Linked DNA regions of Rattus norvegicus. The protein of the gene in region 3 interacts with the protein of the main gene of each other region in a pairwise test. Links are inferred from orthologs where the notes say so. Each region holds a gene or a part of one and is shown on either strand. Other genes may lie near its edges.

Region 1 (4,248 bases), on a different chromosome or scaffold from region 3:
AGCACCTGCCTTTTTTCTTCCCTGAAGCTGCTGCTGGGCGTGGCCACTCCTTTTTTATCTTTCCACTCCGAGGAAAAAGACTAGGAATCTTCTTTCACTATCATGTCTACAGCCAGTGTAGCCTAGAAGTCACCTTGCAGATCCTAGGCTCAGCAGAAACCAAACTGCAGAAGACCAGGAAGCTTGGACTGGGCCTCATCCCAGTTCTGGAGCAATGCCCAGTTCTTTATAATTATTTAAATAGGAGGGTGGCTTGGTAACCAGGAGGCTGATGCCTGGCAGAGCTGCAGAACTCCCAGTAGGCCTGACTACACAGGAATGAGCTGGGTGCTACTCCAATGGTTGCCACACAGCTGTCACCCGAAATGGAGGAAGGGAAAAGGCGTTTGCAGTGGAGGAGCCTGGTGATAGAGTTTAGAGCCAGGCTCTGAAAACGGGCTGTGCATTGGACAGAAATTACAGAAATTTTGTTTTCTTCTTCTCAGAAGTCTAGCACCTACCTGCTTAACTGCTTGTGTTCAAATCTTAGCTTCTGATTGCTTCCTGCCTGACCTGGGGAGAGAGCTACCTTCTATGTATTAGGATGTTAATTTGTAAAATGGGGAAGGGAATCTCTACCTTGTAAAATTAGTGTAGGGATTAAAAGCTCAAAGAGGCAGCATGCACAGTGTCAGCTAAACAGCAAAGTTCAATTAATAGTGGGGAAAGTAATATCGTTTATCAACTGGGACGAATACACCCTATTTTACTGGCAACAGGAAGAAAGATTGCTGGAGAATTCTCCAAATCCTGAAATAAAAGCCTTATGCCACAAATCAGTCTTTTTTTTTTTTTTCCTAATCAGGATTTTTTTTTCCTACCACCTCCTCAAACACGGAGCCCCAAATCATCTCATTTTTTTTGGCCCCAGCCCCCACCATAATTGGCAGACTTGGGTCTCCCAGAGCCAAGCCTCCTCCTGAGAAAGTGGAGAGTGGGAGCCAACATTCCAGTGAGATCACCCGAAAGGGACAGGGCGTCTTTCCGGCCAGGGCAGCAACATCCCCAGCTTGACTGCAGCGACGGGCCCCGCCCCGCCCTTCGCCGCAGTCTCCGAAGAGCTCCCAGGGCGGAGGGGTGCGGCACAGATTCTCTGCAGGGCGGACTGGGCGGGGCAGAATTGCTCCGGTCCCACGCCGCGGCGGGCGGATGCGGCGGCTCCTTTGCGCCGCGCGCTCCCGATGTCCCCTTCCTCCGCCGCCCTTCGGTCGTTTGCCCCAACCCCCACCACCCCGCCCCGCAGCCTCGGCTCCTTCCGGACGCGCTCGGTCCTTTCCGTACTGCAGTCGAGCATCTAGTCCCGCCTCTCGCGTCGCCAACTCCGGCCCTTCCCTCACGCTCGCGCTCGACCGCCGCGGGGGCGCGCGCGGCCGCTTATAAAAGCCCCGGTGCGCGCGCGTCGCCGTCAATATCCGCTGCGGAGCGAACGGCGTGAGGCAGGGGCCGCGGCGGCGCATCTTTTTCCTCAGCAGCCCTCAGCGCGGCGACCCACGCCCCTCACCCCTAGGAACCGGTAAGAAAGGGCGGTGGGCAGGAAGGGAAAAGCCGCGGGCGGCCGAGCACCGGAGCGATGCAGACAGATGAGCTGCCGAGCCTCGCAGGCGGCTCCGTGGGCCGCCGCCGCCTTTTGTGGCGCGTGGGCTGCGGGGCGCGGCAGAGCCGGACGGCGACCTGGCGTGTCAAGGTCTGCGGAAGGTACGCGAGGGGCCCTTCCCGCGCTCGCGGCCCCACCCGACGCGGCAGGTGGCGGGGGTGGTCCTCCTCAGCACCCACCCACGAGCGCCCCCGCACCGCCCTTCGCCCGCAGCCGCGGTGCCCGCACCTCTTGGAACCTCGCAACTGCAGTGACGAGCTCTCTGACCTTAATTTCATCCTGTGTGGCTGTCCCTGGCCCTCCGGCCGCAGAAAGGCCTCCTTTTTCTTTCCTGGTAATAAATGTCTTTCCTCAACAGTGCTGACCTGCTCCTGTCTAATAGATGCGGCGACGCTTGGTAGGAGGAGATCCAGAGCCAATAGATAACTTAATAGCTTACAGCCCTTTTCTTTCTATGCAAGACATTAAGACGAGAGCTTCTTTTTTTGTTTTTGTCAAATTCTACTGCTGTGCCAGTGTGAAGTGATAGAGCAATCTTTTGTCTGAAGCTATCCCTGCAAATTACATGAATTGCTGCTTCTAAAAGAAGAATTTGATTTTAAAATCCTCTCAGGTACTGGAATTACACACACACACACACACACACACACACACACACACACACCACAATATCAAGAGGGCTTCTATATAAGTAAGGTTCGATGTGTTTTAAATAAATATCCCAGAAACCTAGAGTGAGATCGTTTCGAGCTGCTACACTTTACAGGGTCTTTTTGACTTTGATCTCTCTGTCTCTGTCTGTCTGTCTGTCTGTCTCTCTCTCTCTACAGGCTCTTACTGTGTAACTCCGGCTGGCCTGGAATTTGCTGAATAGCTTAGGCCGATCTCAAACTCAGAATTTTCCTGCCTCAGCCTCCCAGATGATCAGGTTTTTCTAAATAGAGACCCAAAACATTTAAAGTCGTTTGTCCTTCCCCTTGGCATTTTCAAAAAGCTAATTATCATGGCTGTCAAGGAATACAAGAGAGACCAAGCATACGAAGTATTTTGATAATGTGTTAAGAAATTGCGTTGTCATAGCAATTGGACTTAAGTAAAACAGAATGTATCAAAGATGGCAGGGTGGGGGTGTCTTGTAGCCGGGAAACAAGAGCTTAAGAATAGCACGAGCAACAGTGAGTTACAAGAAGCCATTGAGCCAAGATTCCCACTCAGACTTAAATGTCTTAGACTTTAAAGGTCAAATTGAAGTCAAAGTTGGAAAAAAAAAGTGCTGTAGTAGATCTCCTGCAGGAAATTAACAATAAGCCTTTTTTAGTAACTGGGCCATTAATTCCTCAAAGGGACCCTCAAAGTGTGTTGACTGCTACCCAGGGATCCAGATAGAAAGAACAGATTAGAAGGTTTGCCCTATACCAGACAAATGTGAAACAGTTCTCTGGTAAACTCAAGGCCTAGAGACATATTTTAGGTATGCAGTTCCACCTCCCCCCCCCCCCCTTTGGGACAAGGTCTTGATATGTAGCTTATTCTGGATCTGTGCAGTTGGGTGTAGCAGGTCTTGGACTCATACTCCAACCAACAAGTCTGGCGGCCACCACCCCTTGACCTTTACCCCTCTTAAAAGAGAGGAGGCCTTGCTATGTGTCTCAGACTCCTGGGCTCAAGCTTATTCCCCACCCTTAGCTTCCTAAGTAACTGGGCTTGTGGCAGGCAGGAGCTGCTACAGCAAGCTATCCTCTGGTAGTGCAGTTTGGCCTTGGCTGGATGCTTCGTAGTAATCTAATCCTTGGAGAAATCTGATGTCAAGTAACATAATGAACAGGTTTAAGCGGGGAGACCGTATTAAGTATATCTTTTAGTTCCCTAGATTGTAATTTTCTATTATTTTCCTTCTCTGCTTTCACCTCGAAGGTGGGGCCTCTGCAGATACTGAGAAATGGCTTTTAGGAATATAGCTCCCCCAGTCCGGTCTGAGGAATGTGCATTGAGGATAGAGGGTCTGCCTTTGTTATCAGTCCCACTGCCTATTGGAGCACTCCACTCCCTGTATCTGGGTCTGCCGCAGCCCATCAGCCGTGGCCTTACAGGGGGAATGCCTTGATCTGATGGCAAATGCTGACTCCAGGAATGCAGAGGCCCGCATAGCTGGCGGGAGAGCCATCTGGCTGCAACAGCCGTGCAGCGAGTGGCACCTCTCACATCTCTTGCACATGATGCTTACACTTGTTTTGAGTAGGAAATGATAGTATTTTTCTAAAGGTACTGCACCAGCAAACTAGCCCCAAGGTCAATCTTTGCTGTTTGAGTTCCTTACTATACTCAGGCTTTCTTGAAATCATCTTTTTACTTAACTGCTTTTACAGTGCAAATGCCTAAAACCCTCAAGATTCTTATTTCGCCAGAATGTGGGTGGGAAGAGGCATATTATTTTTAAAAGAACATTCAATATTAAAAATCAATCCTTGGGCAAACAGGCCTGATCGAGTGTGACTTGGCCAAGGCAGCACATTTAGGTGACGGTAGTTCTACATACCCACAAGTCTTGGCTCCCTGATTACATCTCAGATTTCTGGTGGGATTCGGACACTGGGGCAGTCTGTGCTGTGGGATCT
Region 2 (4,277 bases), about 39 Mb from region 3:
GGTCTTTATGGCTAGAGTATGGGCTTTTCTTCATGAACATGTTGTGGTTCCTACCAATCCCAATTAGCATGTAGCACTAAGGTCTTTGTCCAGGCAGGGCGACTATTTTCTTAGATACTTTGTACAGAAACATGCCTGAGAACTATTTTTTTCCAATTTTCAAAATTAAATGTTATTTTAAAAAGCACAATTGGAGAGATGGGCATGGTAGCACATGCCATAAATCCCTTGTCACCTGGGAGACGGGGAAAGAGCTGAGGACGTCCCCCAGTGATTGCTGAAAATGCTGGCAATGAAAATGGCTGTCCCAATCTTAACTGCAGAGAGGGCATCTCTCAGTTAGCGTCTCTAGAGTCCAAGGAATGCTGGCAAACTAGCAGGGACACAGCTGAGGGTTGCAACACCATTTCATTACCTTATTCTTGGGCAGACAACCCTGTGGTATAAGGACAATTTCTCCTTTGACAACACTGGGCAGAACCTCCCAACCCCTCCCCAGTAAACGGAATACTTGAAAAGTAAAGTGGACTTAAAGCACATCTCTGCAAAGTGGTCTCCTTCCTTCTAAGCAACACAGACATGTTATTAAAAAGAGCGCATTCCTCACAAAGCTTACCTTCCTGTTTTGTATGTGTTAGGGGGAAAGAGCAATACATAAGTACAAGGCCAGCATAATTGACATGTGGCACGTTACCATGGTGATACATACTACTGAGAAAAACAAAACAGGGAGCAAAGGGTTGTCTGAAGCAGGGGGTCATCACAGCCTCCATCTGGGCTTAACTCAGATCTGAACACAGTCAGTGAGGTAAGAGAGGGTCGCTCTGTCTAGGCACTGGGGAAGAGAATTTCAGGAGAGAAACACCCAAATGTAAAGGCTTAGGTGTTGACTGAGGAACAGCAAGAAACACAGAAGCAGAGAGTCAGGGCTAATCAGCAGAAGGGGACTAGAGGAACATGTCAAGTAGGCTTTGCTAGAATGTTCTAAGGATGGTCTGAGAATCACAAGAAGCCATCAGAGTAGAGGAGTTCCATGACAGCATGTCAAAAGCAACCCAAAAGATAATTCTGCTAACAGGTGTCTCAAAGTTTACGTGCAGCTACTGAAAGGGAAAAGGTTTGACCCCTGGTGGAATAAGGGTTTGGGGGAAAGGACGGTTTTAGTTCGCTACCGCTCAGAAAACTCTACTCCTTCTGCTCCAGCCTTAGGTCCCCCTCCTCCTAAGGATGCCTTAGGACCACAGGAGTTCTGGGAACCCGGACCTGATTCTCTTCCAGCTGGAGCCAGGTCTAGCTCAGTGCAGACTCATCAGTATTCTGTCCACGGACCACCCCCCGCTGTGCATCAGGGCTTCTGTCTCCCTGTCGGAGACAATCCCCTGAGGTCTATCCGCCCCCACCGCCCCCACCTGCCCTAGTCTCCTAGGCCCTCAGCCTACCCCATACCAGCGCATGCCCGGAGGCCTCTGCCACCCGCGCGCTTCCGCCAAGCCAAATAGGCTTTGCCCTACGGCGGCGGTGACCATAGATAGGCTGAAGACTGAAGAGGGGGCGGCCTGACCCAGCTCACAGGCAGAATGCCTGGGGAGGGAGACCCATGCTAAGGCATTCCTGCAACAGCTCTCTGGAGACATTCAACTTCCCTGCGTCGCCTCAAATGTCCCCAGAGCCTCCTGCAATGCACCACAACGCAAGGCAGACGCCGAAGGCACTTGCACGGCGCCCCCACTGGGATGCGCTGTCACCCTAAGAGGGAACCAGTGCTGCAAATCAGGAGGACCCAGGACGCGGGGAGTCAGGGGTGGGTTGCATAGGACTCACCTTGTGCAATTTCCACATAGCCCCCAAAGCCTTGACTTCGTGGCTGGAGTGTTTGCCCTCCTCCAAGCACTGGTAGCACACCGGCATCTTGCATTGCACACAGTACATGCTGTGGTTCTCCAGCTCGTGGTCTGTGCAGGTGGAGACCTTGCGCGGGCTCAGCCGTCGGCTTACGCGACCCTGGGCCGGGGGCACCAGACGGTGTTTGGCTAGGGGACCCCTCGGTGGGTGGCAGCGTAGACGGCAAGGGTCGCAGTAGAAGACATCGCACTGTTCGCACATGACCGTGGCTTCCTTGGGCGCCTTCTCACAGAGCTGGCACTTGAGGGCCGCGGCTTTGCTCTGTTGGTAGCGGTCGATGACCCCTTCCAGGACGCGGTTCTTGGGGAAGCCGCGGAGCCCCCGGTCATCCAGAATGAGGCTGCGGTGGCACTGGGGGCAGGTAATGCAGGAGTTGCGGGGCACAGGGGCCAAAGCCGGTGACAGGTGGGTGGGCGGTGGCGGCATAGCAGGGGGGAAAACACGGACGCCGTTGGGCGACTTCTGGCACGGGGTAGTGGGGGCGCTGGCGAAACCTCCGTAGGAGCCATAGCCGCTGTCCGCCTCGCTGTAAAGGCTCATCTTGTCCAGGTCCAGATAGTCATAGTCAGAAACCCCAGAGCCCGAGGCCCGGCGGCTCTGGGGGGACTCGGACTCCGGGGTCTGCACCAGGATGTTGCGGGCGCAAGCCTGGCATAAATTGTGAGAGCAGGGCAGGATGATGGGCTCCCGATAGAAGGAGCCACACACGGGGCATTTTAACTCTTCTTCCATCTCTTCCATGGGGACCTGGCTGGAAGCGAGGCAGCAGAGGCTGCGGCAAAGGGGGCCTGACCTGGCGAAGCAGTCGATAGGCCTGTGGTGTCCAGCACCTTGGCCAGCGGCGGCGGTGGTGGCGCCTTTCCGCGTCGCCTAGGCGCCGACTCCCCAGGACGCGCTCTCTCTGTGAGCGGTGGAGCGTCCGCGCTGCGCGCCAGCCCGGGCCCGCCCCCTTCCCGCTGCTAGCCCCACCCCGCCAGGGAGCCGAGGCTCATCGGACGGCGGCCGTGAGAGCTGCGTTCTCATTGGCTTCCCGCCCTGTCCGTCTCCCCTTCTCTGCAGGCCGCAGGGGGCTCAGTGAGTCGGAGCTGGAGCAGCCGCTTGGCTTGCTGAAGCTGGCGCGGGATTTTGGGAGGGGGCTGGAGCAAGGGCCGAGAAGGAGAAGTGGGGCGGGATGATTCATCCCTTTCCACCCCCACCCCCCACACGCTTCCTTCTGAGCTCGAGTGCAGTCACCCGGGAGCAGGGGGCGTGAGAACCCCTCCCAATCGTGAGTGGGCTGCTGTTGCCTGTCGCCGGCGCTTGGGGCTTGCCTTCCAGCTCTAGTCTGCGCGCCGACCCACCCCTTCTCCTTCCGCTGCTGGCATCAAGCTGGCACCTCCCCCGTGCCTTCCTGGGGGCTTTTGGGCTTTTCTCCAGCACTCAGAAGCAGCTGGAGCGCCCGCATCCATCGTGTTTGGGGGAGATGGTTGTGTGTCATGGCTGCAGTGCCCCCTTCTTGCGCTCCCCCCCCTCCCCGGTAGCTTTTTCCCTACTCCGAGGCAAAGGCTCAGTATTCCTCCAAAAGCTGTACCACCATCGCTACATGTTTTAAATGTGTGGAGGCCCCTACGCCTTGGAGTGAAGGTACCTAGGTTCTTCTCACCCTCCCAGCCTCTCGAAGCTCATCCCTCAGCATCTGGCTGGGTTTTAGAGAGGCCCCAGGAACATTAGTTGAGTTGAAGCAGGCAGAGTTTGTGTGTTTCTGAGTGCTATTGTTTGGAAACTAGCTATGTGAACGAATTGCTATGGCATTGCAGATTCCAATGTTTGATTCCAAACGATATTATCCAATGTCACATGCCCTTAGCATCTACCATAAATTCCAGAATAGGGGGCGGGGTGTTATTTTTGCTTCTGTGAGGTAATGAAGGAATCTAATGATAGCCCTTGTATTCTAACCGATTTCTCTTTTCCCCAAATCGTGCTAGAGATAATGGATCCTGCCCCTTGCCTGCATAACCCTTAAATGAGGACGACGATAGAATCTTTGAATCAATATATCAGCCTGTTACTCAATGGGTAGAATCTTTGAATCCAGTGACATTCCAAGGAAGTAATTTATCTTGGGGGCACACATAGTTAATTTTCTGAGTGATTCATAAAACAAGTGACAAAAATGGTTTTCAAGTCCCGTGGGATCTTCCAAATTTTCAACTTCCAGTAGATAACGATTATTCATAGCTTCATTTATAATTTAAAAGCACTTTTTTTTGTCCAGGGAAAAGAAGTACTTTCTATAATCTTTGATTTTTGGAGAAATAGTACAAATAAATTGGATTATCTCGCAAATATATTTTTTAGCACAATGACTACAGTAGTTGATCATTGGTTGTGTG
Region 3 (4,166 bases):
TCTCAAAAAAAAAAAAAAAAAAAAAAAAAAAGCCAAAAACCTAGAAGCAGACAAAGCAAGCCCCACTCTCCTGACATCTGAAGCACGTTACATAACATAGCAAGTGACTCCTCACCAGAAACAGTCAAGTCAGACTACAAGACAGCGTGAAAAGCTGGAGCCAGGGGAGTGCTGAGTTCCGAAACTAACCAATGAAAGGAGTGTTTAAAGTGGAGGAAAAGGTTCTAATGGTAATGGTTGCAGAGCTCTGTGGACAGTCTAAAAACCATGAACTGCATGCTTCCCTGGATGCTTTGTGCTATGAGTTATATCTCAATAAAATTGCTTATAAACCAGAGGAAGGTGAAGGATAAACATTTTCAAACAAAGTCTAACAATCTGCTCCAGCAGAACCTACACTAAAAAATACTAAAGGGACCAGGCCGGCAGTGTACACTCAGAATCCCAGCAGATAGGAGATGGTTAAGTTCCAAGTCAGCCTGAGACCCTGCTCAAAAACAACAAAAACAAAGACACAGGAGATGGTTTCAAGGATAAACTGCTTCCCATGCAAGCTTGAAGGTCTATCCATATAACCCATATCAAAGTAGGTGGGTGTGGCAGCCTCCCTACAATTCTGTTAGAAGGAGACAGGACCACAGATGGTTAGTGGCCAGCTGTGGGTTCAACTGAGAGACCCTGCCTCAATGAAGAAATTGGAGAATAACTCCTAATGCTAACCCCAGGCCTGGGTGTGCCCCCGCCCCTACGGAATGTATATGCACACATGCACTCATATACATAAAAGATACAAAAAGCAGACAAGCAAAAGCTTCGGATAGCAATCATTGGATGCGTGCAAGACCCTTGCCTTGGTCTGATACACCCAACATTGCGATAGGCAGAAAGACAGACACTAAAAGACGTTCTTCAGACAGATATGACCCCAAAAGGAAGTCTGAAAGATGACAAAGGTGGCATTGCAGCTGAGGGAAACAGTGAGCTTGGTAAACGATGAGGAATAAATCATGATAGGTAAATGTGAAAACAGTTCCTTTTACACATTACACAAAAACCAGTTCCAGGTGGACCATATTATTTTATATAAAAAGCAAAATATTAAAATTTCTGCAAAATGTTAGCAAGCTATCTTCTTCACTTACGAATAGTAACTCTACCAATTAGGAAGAAGACAACCCCTCACGCTAAAACTGGACAATATTTAAACAGACACTTAATTTTTAAAAAATGCCAAACATACACAGATGGACAATCAGCCTCTTCAGTCAACCAGAAACTGCAAATTAAAACCCTGATGGAATGTCACTTCACACTCACCAGAATGGCTAAAATTTCATCAGACAATACCAAGGGGTGTCAGGGATTTTAAACAAGGGTTATTAAATGTTTGCTGGTATAAACTGGTAACATGACTTTGGGAATTTTAGTTCTATCCACTACAACAAAAGATGTACATGATTTTATGTTTAAAAAAAAAAACCAACAAAACCAACAACAACCTGCTTGTGGGTAGGTAGAATATATATTCATTAGAAATGAATGCTTTTGGCATATTCGCCGAACGGTTAATAGCCCAAAACAACCCAAAAGTCTACTAACATTAGCAGAATGGATAAAGTGTGGACTGTCTACACTACGCAGGACAGTAGATAATAGAAACCTGATGGATGAACTTCAGAAATACCTTGGATGAAAGAAGGCAGACACAAAAATTACATAATGCATTATTGAATTTATACAGTTCACAAAACAGGTGAAACGAATCTACAATTGGACACTACAGTGTTTTTAAGAAAGATGTATCTAGAAGATAACATTGCACAGAAAGAGAAAAAAAAAAAACCGGCATACGCTGCCATGCGCCCCGCCCCGCCCCCCACCCCACCCCAGAAAGCAGGCTAAGGTTAGTCTGGAAAGGAAACCTGGGTGCAGCAGCGATGAAGAGAGCACGGGAGTTTCTGGGTGTTGACAAGGTTCCGGCTGAGGGGCACATCAAAAGCCGTACCTTTTGGGGGTTACACAATGTGCGGGTTTGCAAGAGAAAGGGGACAGGTCAGAAAGAAAGGTGATGATGAGAGCGCCCTGATGGAGATGAGCTACAGAAGCCGAAGTGAACAGGACCGCCGCTGAGGCGCTCACAGCCGGCAGACAGCACAAGGCGGGCGCGGCCTCCCGCGGACCCCGGGGCCTGACTGTCTTCTGGTGCTTGGGCCGCCGGCTGAGGGTTCCGGTGCCCCCTCGATGCTCGGACACCCCGCCCTCCACGCCCGGCGCTCCAGGCCTCGCCGCGCTCGAGGCCCCTACTCACCTCATCGTGGCTGCCGGGCGGGCACGGGGCCGGGGATGAAGGCGCGGCGCGACGGGGCGCTAGCGGGGCAGCCGGCCCCGGGCGCGGCGGCTCCGCGTCTGGCTGGGCTGCAGGCGGCGGCGGGGGCTCATCTTCTCCGGCGGGCGTCCGGGCCGCTAGCTGCGAGGCAGCGCGGCCGCGGCGGCGGCGGCGACTGACAGCTGGGCCCCGGCCCCTGCCATCTTGGCGGGCGCGCGTGCCCGGGCCGGCGCGTGCGCGTGCCGCCCGCCAGCCGACGGGCCGGGGGAGGGGGCGAGCGGCGGGGTCTCGAGGGCGGGAGCGAGAGCGCGCGTCCGCCTTGAAACTCGGGGCGGCGGCGGGAGGATGGGGTGCGGGGTGCACGCGGGGCGGAGGGACCCTCCGCCCGCAGAGGGGACTGCGCGCGCCGACGGCCCTCGGTCCGCGGCCGCGGAGGGAATGGGTGCGCGCCGCAGAGAAGCTCCACACAAAAGGCGCGGGGCTCGGCGGTCCGCGCCTCTAAGAGGGCGGAGCGTGAGGGGGCGGGACAGGGGTGTGGCCCAGGTCCAGAGGGGTGGGGCGAACCTTTGTGGAAAGGGTGGATGGGCCATGGAGTCTGGGGGCAAGACAGGGGGCGTGGCCTAAGGTCCCAAAGGAGAATTTGGGAGAAACTGTAGTTTGGAGGAACAGGTTAACTTAGTGAATTCCAGGATTTTTGTTTGCAAGGGAAAGATTCCGGGCGACCTTTGCGGGAAAGCTTCGGGATCTTAGGTCTAGGAAAGGCCTGGAAGAAGGAGTTAGTAGGGAGAAACAAAGCCGAGCTCCACCGAAAAGCCTGGAGGGTCGTGGGTTTAGGGCTGGGGATTGGGGCGTAGACCTGGAGCTAGGCGGGCAGAGTGGGCGGAGACCCCACAGAATCCCTGGTGGTGGAGGAGCTGTCGAGGGAAGGGCAGGTGGAGAGGCTTAGGGCAAAGGGTGTGATTTGTGAGTCAAGGCTGAATGGGGGGAGAGTGTTGAGGCACATGGAGCCCTACTTGTACCAGCTTTCCAGTGCATTCAGAACAGAGCATTAAGGGCTGAAAGATGCAATCTTGAACGGATTCCTGGATCTGCAGTACTGTTAGCATTGCCTGAGGTCATAGTCTTCCTAACCGTATTGGTTCCCTTCTTCCTGGGATCTATATTGGTCTCTTGGTTACAGAAGAGCCTTGTCACGTGCTAAGAGTTGTGAAAATAGTGGGGCCTCAGGTCAACTGAAGGCATCCCAGGTGTCCTCAGGAGAGTCCTGGTTGCTGCATACCTTGATTCCAGCAAGGCATTGTGTTCTTCCTGCTTGTGGCCACCAATCGCCAGGTGTTTGCTCCTGGGATCTAACAAATTGCCATTCTGTGACTTGGAGGGCATAATCAATTGGGTTTGTTGTAAAGACACCGTCTTTCCGCCGCGCCCCCACTAGAATCACTGACACTAATGAGGAATCACTTCTCAAAGCCAAGGACTGGTGGCCTCCAGAAAGAAATCTTTTTGAGGTCACATGTTTCAAAAAATGTTAACCTTTTGTAACGTTTTGTATCAGAAGGGTGGAAAACACAAGTTCTTCTACTTCCGAGGAATAAAGCCTTCATTCTGATTTGCAAATAGAGGTTGGCTTCAGAAGTCTGAGTTCGGGAAAGGGGAAGGACAGGTGGGAATAGGGAGAAATGTGAGCAAGTCCCTTTCAGTCTGTTTCCTACTGACCTTGGGGCTTCAATTGAGCCCCAGCAGCCTGTAAGGTGAGCTTTAGGATTCCCACCTAATGGATGGGGAACTCAGGGAGGTTTGAGCATGTTTGGCATTAAATGTGGGGCCTCTGCTTCTGCAG
Region 4 (4,007 bases), on a different chromosome or scaffold from region 3:
CTCTCTCCTTTCATGACCACGCCCCTTTTCCCTGGCCCCACAGCTTCCCTCTAGCCTATTGTACCGCTTGCCTGTCTTTCTCCATTACAAAGCCTGTTCCTCCCATGCCAACTAGCTCACAGCTCCCCCCTCCGCTAAGCCCCCCCAAAGGTTCTTCCCCCAACTCCCCCCCCAAAATGGTTCCATTATCGGATTCCACAATTTCACGGTACAAGGGTCTCGATCTTCATTCACTCCATAAAGACACACCCTCAGTTCCAACACTCAACAGTTAGTACCCAGTGGCTGTGTCCGTCCTAATGCTGTGTAACCTTTGCTTCTTGGCCTCCGTGCCCTCCCCGGAGTGTGGAACTCCCCTCTCTTCAATCCCCAATGCTCGCCTACAGTCTGCTTCTTCCCTTTGCCTCTCCCAGGACCACCTGACACCACTATGACATTTAGCAGAGCTGAGCTCCTGCTCTGACAGACATTTGTCCAATAGCGAGGGACATTCTTGAGGAAATGTTAAGGAACCAGTGTGGTTAAGTGAGGTTCCTCTTCTGCCAGGAGGGATGGCAGACGGGGAGGGGGAGGGGCTCTGCAAAGCCATCCCAGATGCAGGATCAAATCCCACTCACATCTGGGAGCTCCCTGAACTCAAGTTTAGGACAGAACCATCGCCCTTCCAACTTTCGGTTAATGCATGAGCCCTGCTCAGCGCTCTGTCCGCCAGTGCTGCCCATACATCCATGTGGAATGGTGTTATCTCACATCAAAGGCCTTCCTGTTGCTGGTCTGAGTGCTCATACTAGTTATTTGGTCCATATCATCTTCTCCTACCTTCATTAGGCACAAAGTACTGGTCACAGGACTTCCTACTCGGCCCTTCACAAGCTTGCCCACAGTTGTTCAGGAATTCTAGCTGTGTCTTCCTGGTGTCTAACCCTGATTCTTCTTGCTGCTGCGAGGGCTGTTTACCATTGTAGTTGTGCTGCCAGCCTGGCCCCGCCCCCAGTATGACTTATCTCCATATCCTATCCACCCTCCTCTTCCCAATCCCGTGGTGACTCATCCCAAGGAAGCCCCCACCCTCTGCTCTTTCCTCCCCTCTTCCATGAGTGGAAAATCCACTCCCGTGGCAGGCCAGCCCCTTCCTCCTGTCTCTACTACCCCATCCCCCCATCAACTAGCTTCCTCTCCAGGACCAGGGAGCAATCACAGATGCCCCGACCTTGGCTTCCTTTGCCTGGTGAGATTGGGAGGCTGAGGCCCCAACAGGCCCCTGGCTTCCCCCTTCTCCTGAGCAGGGGACAGAGAGGCCCAGGCCCAGGGCCCAGGGCCTGACTTCCTCTTGTCCCGGAATGAGCATGCCTACCCCTTTGCAGGCAGGTTTGGGTCTCTCACTCAGAGGAAACCAAAAGCAGAGGGAGGGAAGGCAGAGCGGCCAATCAGGGGCAGGGTGAGGCTCAAAACCCAGCAGGCTCCCCAGGGAACCCCACCGAGGCCGAGCCATGGCGGAGCTGCAGCAGCTGCAGCAGTTGCAGGAGTTCGATATCCCCACGGGCCGGGAGGCTCTGCGGGGCAACCACAGCGCCCTGCTACGGGTGGCCAACTACTGTGAGGATAACTACTTGCAGGTAAGTGGAGAGGGCTCGTGCCAGGATATACCTCGAGGGGACCGCAGCACAGTCCCTCTGGCAGGGTCATCTGACAGGTATCTGTTCCCACCTTGGCTGAGCAATCTTTAGGCATCAGCGCCATCTCAGTGCTTCCAAAGCGCCACAACCCTTGTTCCCGGGACACAGCCTCAGAGGTAGAGGATACGTGAATATCACTGTATCTGTAATCGATTCTCCCACCTTACCACAGATCATCCTTCTCACAGGTGCTGGTACTGTCTTCAAGTTGGTCTATGGCAGTCAAAAACTTCCCACACACGGGAAGGGGGTTTGTTCCTTGACGTTTTGAAAGAGAACAGAGGAGAGTCAGAGCAGATCCTGATGAGAGAACCGGTGTACTGCAGAGGCAGGGGGCTTACAGTCTGGCTGCTGGGAAATGAGGCACTGTAGAGCAGCTTCAGATGGTTTTTGAGATGTGGTATCATTGTATGGCCTAGGCTGGCCTTGAGTTCACTGTAGCCCAGGCTGACCTTGAGTTCTCTGTAGCCCAGGCTGGCCTCAGATCTACCGTCCTCTTGTGTCAGCCTTCCCTTAGTGCTGGGATTACAGGCTTCTACCACCTCTCCTGGCCATTGTTTGGGACAGATGTTTTGTTACAGTTTCTTTCTTTCTTTTTCTTTTTTTTTTTTTTTTTTTGGTTCTTTTTTTTCGGAGCTGGGGACCGAACCCAGGGCCTTGCGCGTCCTAATTAAGCGCTCTACCACTGAGCTAAATCCCCAGCCCCTTGTTACAGTTTCTTAAGGTATTGGGAGGGGAGCCCAGGGCTGTCTGGGAAGAGCTCTTCTGCTGAGCTAAGCCTCACTTCACCCTGGAGTAGTCAGTCTTGTTCACATAACATTGATTCCTGGGGAGAGAAGAGAGGCAGAGAGGACTTCATGACTATCCGCCTACTCCTTTGTCAATCCTCACAGCCACCATGTGAGACAAAGACTATAATTCTTGTTTTATGAATGTGAAAACGGTAGCGTAAAGCGTGTGTGTGTGTGTGTGTGTGTGTGTGTGTGTGTGTGTGTGTGTGTGTGTAGAGGTGGCTTCTCCGGAGTCACCCAGCTCTGCATCACAGAGCCAAGCATGGCTGCCCTGCCTTCTCACCTGAGCCCCTTTCTCTCCATCTGTCCACATGTCTGACACGGTGTATGGCTGGCTTGGGAAAGCTTATCTGCACTCCTTGTCCTCGGTTTCCTCTGCTCCATTAAGAGCGACAGGCTGGACTGGAGAGATGGCTCAGCGGTTAAAAGCACTGACTGTTCTTCCAGAGGACCTGAGTTCAATTCCCAGCAAGCACATGGTGGTTCATAGCCATCTGTAATGGGATCCAATGCTCTCTTCTGGTGTGTCTGAAGACAGCTACGGTGTACTCATATACATATATAAATCTTTAAAAACAATGGCCAACATTAAGAGTGACAGGCCAAGTCTGCAACCTCTTACACCTAGCCAGACGGTGAGATAACACCAGGGGCCTCCTCCTGTTATGAGGGGGCTGGGGAGAAAAAAGAACCAAAGGCCTATGGGAAATGGCAGAGCGAAGAGGCAATGATGGCCAAGTTCTCAACGTACCCTCCCACAGCCTTCCTCAGTCCTTCCAGGTGAGCGCTGTGCACACTTCCCAGTGAGAAAGCTGAGGTTTGGAAAGGGTTAGACTCCGTCTCCAGAGGCCTCCAAGGTAGTCACCGAGACAGGATTCCAACTTGGAATGCTGGCTGGCTGTGGTGGCCCATACTCCTGATGCCAGTTCTTGGGAGACTACGGCAGGAGGATCTTAGAACGTTCTACCTATGTTCTAGTCTACATAGAGAGTCCACGTTAGTCAGGATTGCATAGCAGGACACTCCCTCTAATAGATCAAAAACAGCAAATGGAAATCCCAAATAAAAGAACGACCAGGATTCTGACTCTTGGGCCCAGTTCTTAACCCTTCAAGCCACAGTGCTACCTTGAGTGTCATTCTGGTGTGTGTGAGTGTGTGTGTGTGTGTGTGTGTGAGAGAGAGAGAGAGAGACAGACAGACAGACAGACAGACAGAGAGACCGACATACACACAGAGACAAATAGAGACAGACAGACACAGAGAGACCGACATATACACAGAGACAAATAGAGACAGACAGACAGACACAGAGACAGACAGAGACACCGAGTGACAGTCTGTAGATAGATGATCTGCCATGTGGCTTATATACCTATCCTGCCTGCTAGCACGTAGGCAGGCTCCCCTGGCGGGGAAGGAGACAGCCTTTTGTGTTCCATGATGTCGTCCCATCCCTCACAGTGCTGCTAGTGGGTGCAATCCCATGTGTACAATTGGTGTGCACACGGGACCTGAAGCCACAAAGCTGAGTCACCAGG

The links.
Region 1: the proteins of Evl (region 3) and Sptan1 interact in binary tests that used the Homo sapiens proteins (3 or more experiments, as listed by UniProt). The link is inferred for Rattus norvegicus from reciprocal best matches to the Homo sapiens genes EVL and SPTAN1.
Region 2: the proteins of Evl (region 3) and Trim9 interact in binary tests that used the Homo sapiens proteins (3 or more experiments, as listed by UniProt). The two-hybrid records come from large-scale screens. The link is inferred for Rattus norvegicus from reciprocal best matches to the Homo sapiens genes EVL and TRIM9.
Region 4: the proteins of Evl (region 3) and Abi3 interact in binary tests that used the Homo sapiens proteins (3 or more experiments, as listed by UniProt). The link is inferred for Rattus norvegicus from reciprocal best matches to the Homo sapiens genes EVL and ABI3.

Annotation. Positions count from the first base shown.
Region 1 is NC_086021.1:33,637,622-33,641,869, forward strand, and holds the start of Sptan1 (spectrin alpha chain, non-erythrocytic 1), read left to right. Parts: upstream 1-1,447; 5' UTR 1,448-1,552; intron 1,553-4,248. UniProt on the Homo sapiens protein: Fodrin, which seems to be involved in secretion, interacts with calmodulin in a calcium-dependent manner and is thus candidate for the calcium-dependent movement of the cytoskeleton at the membrane.
Region 2 is NC_086024.1:94,589,751-94,594,027, forward strand, and holds the start of Trim9 (E3 ubiquitin-protein ligase TRIM9), read right to left. Parts: upstream 2,802-4,277; 5' UTR 2,644-2,801; coding exon 1,822-2,643; intron 1-1,821. UniProt on the Homo sapiens protein: E3 ubiquitin-protein ligase which ubiquitinates itself in cooperation with an E2 enzyme UBE2D2/UBC4 and serves as a targeting signal for proteasomal degradation.
Region 3 is NC_086024.1:133,237,182-133,241,347, reverse strand, and holds the start of Evl (ena/VASP-like protein), read right to left. Parts: upstream 2,802-4,166; 5' UTR 2,314-2,801; coding exon 2,309-2,313; intron 1-2,308. UniProt on the Homo sapiens protein: Ena/VASP proteins are actin-associated proteins involved in a range of processes dependent on cytoskeleton remodeling and cell polarity such as axon guidance and lamellipodial and filopodial dynamics in migrating cells.
Region 4 is NC_086028.1:81,274,761-81,278,767, reverse strand, and holds the start of Abi3 (ABI gene family member 3), read left to right. Parts: upstream 1-1,206; 5' UTR 1,207-1,490; coding exon 1,491-1,616; intron 1,617-1,843; exon of another isoform or gene 1,844-4,007. UniProt on the Homo sapiens protein: May inhibit tumor metastasis. In vitro, reduces cell motility.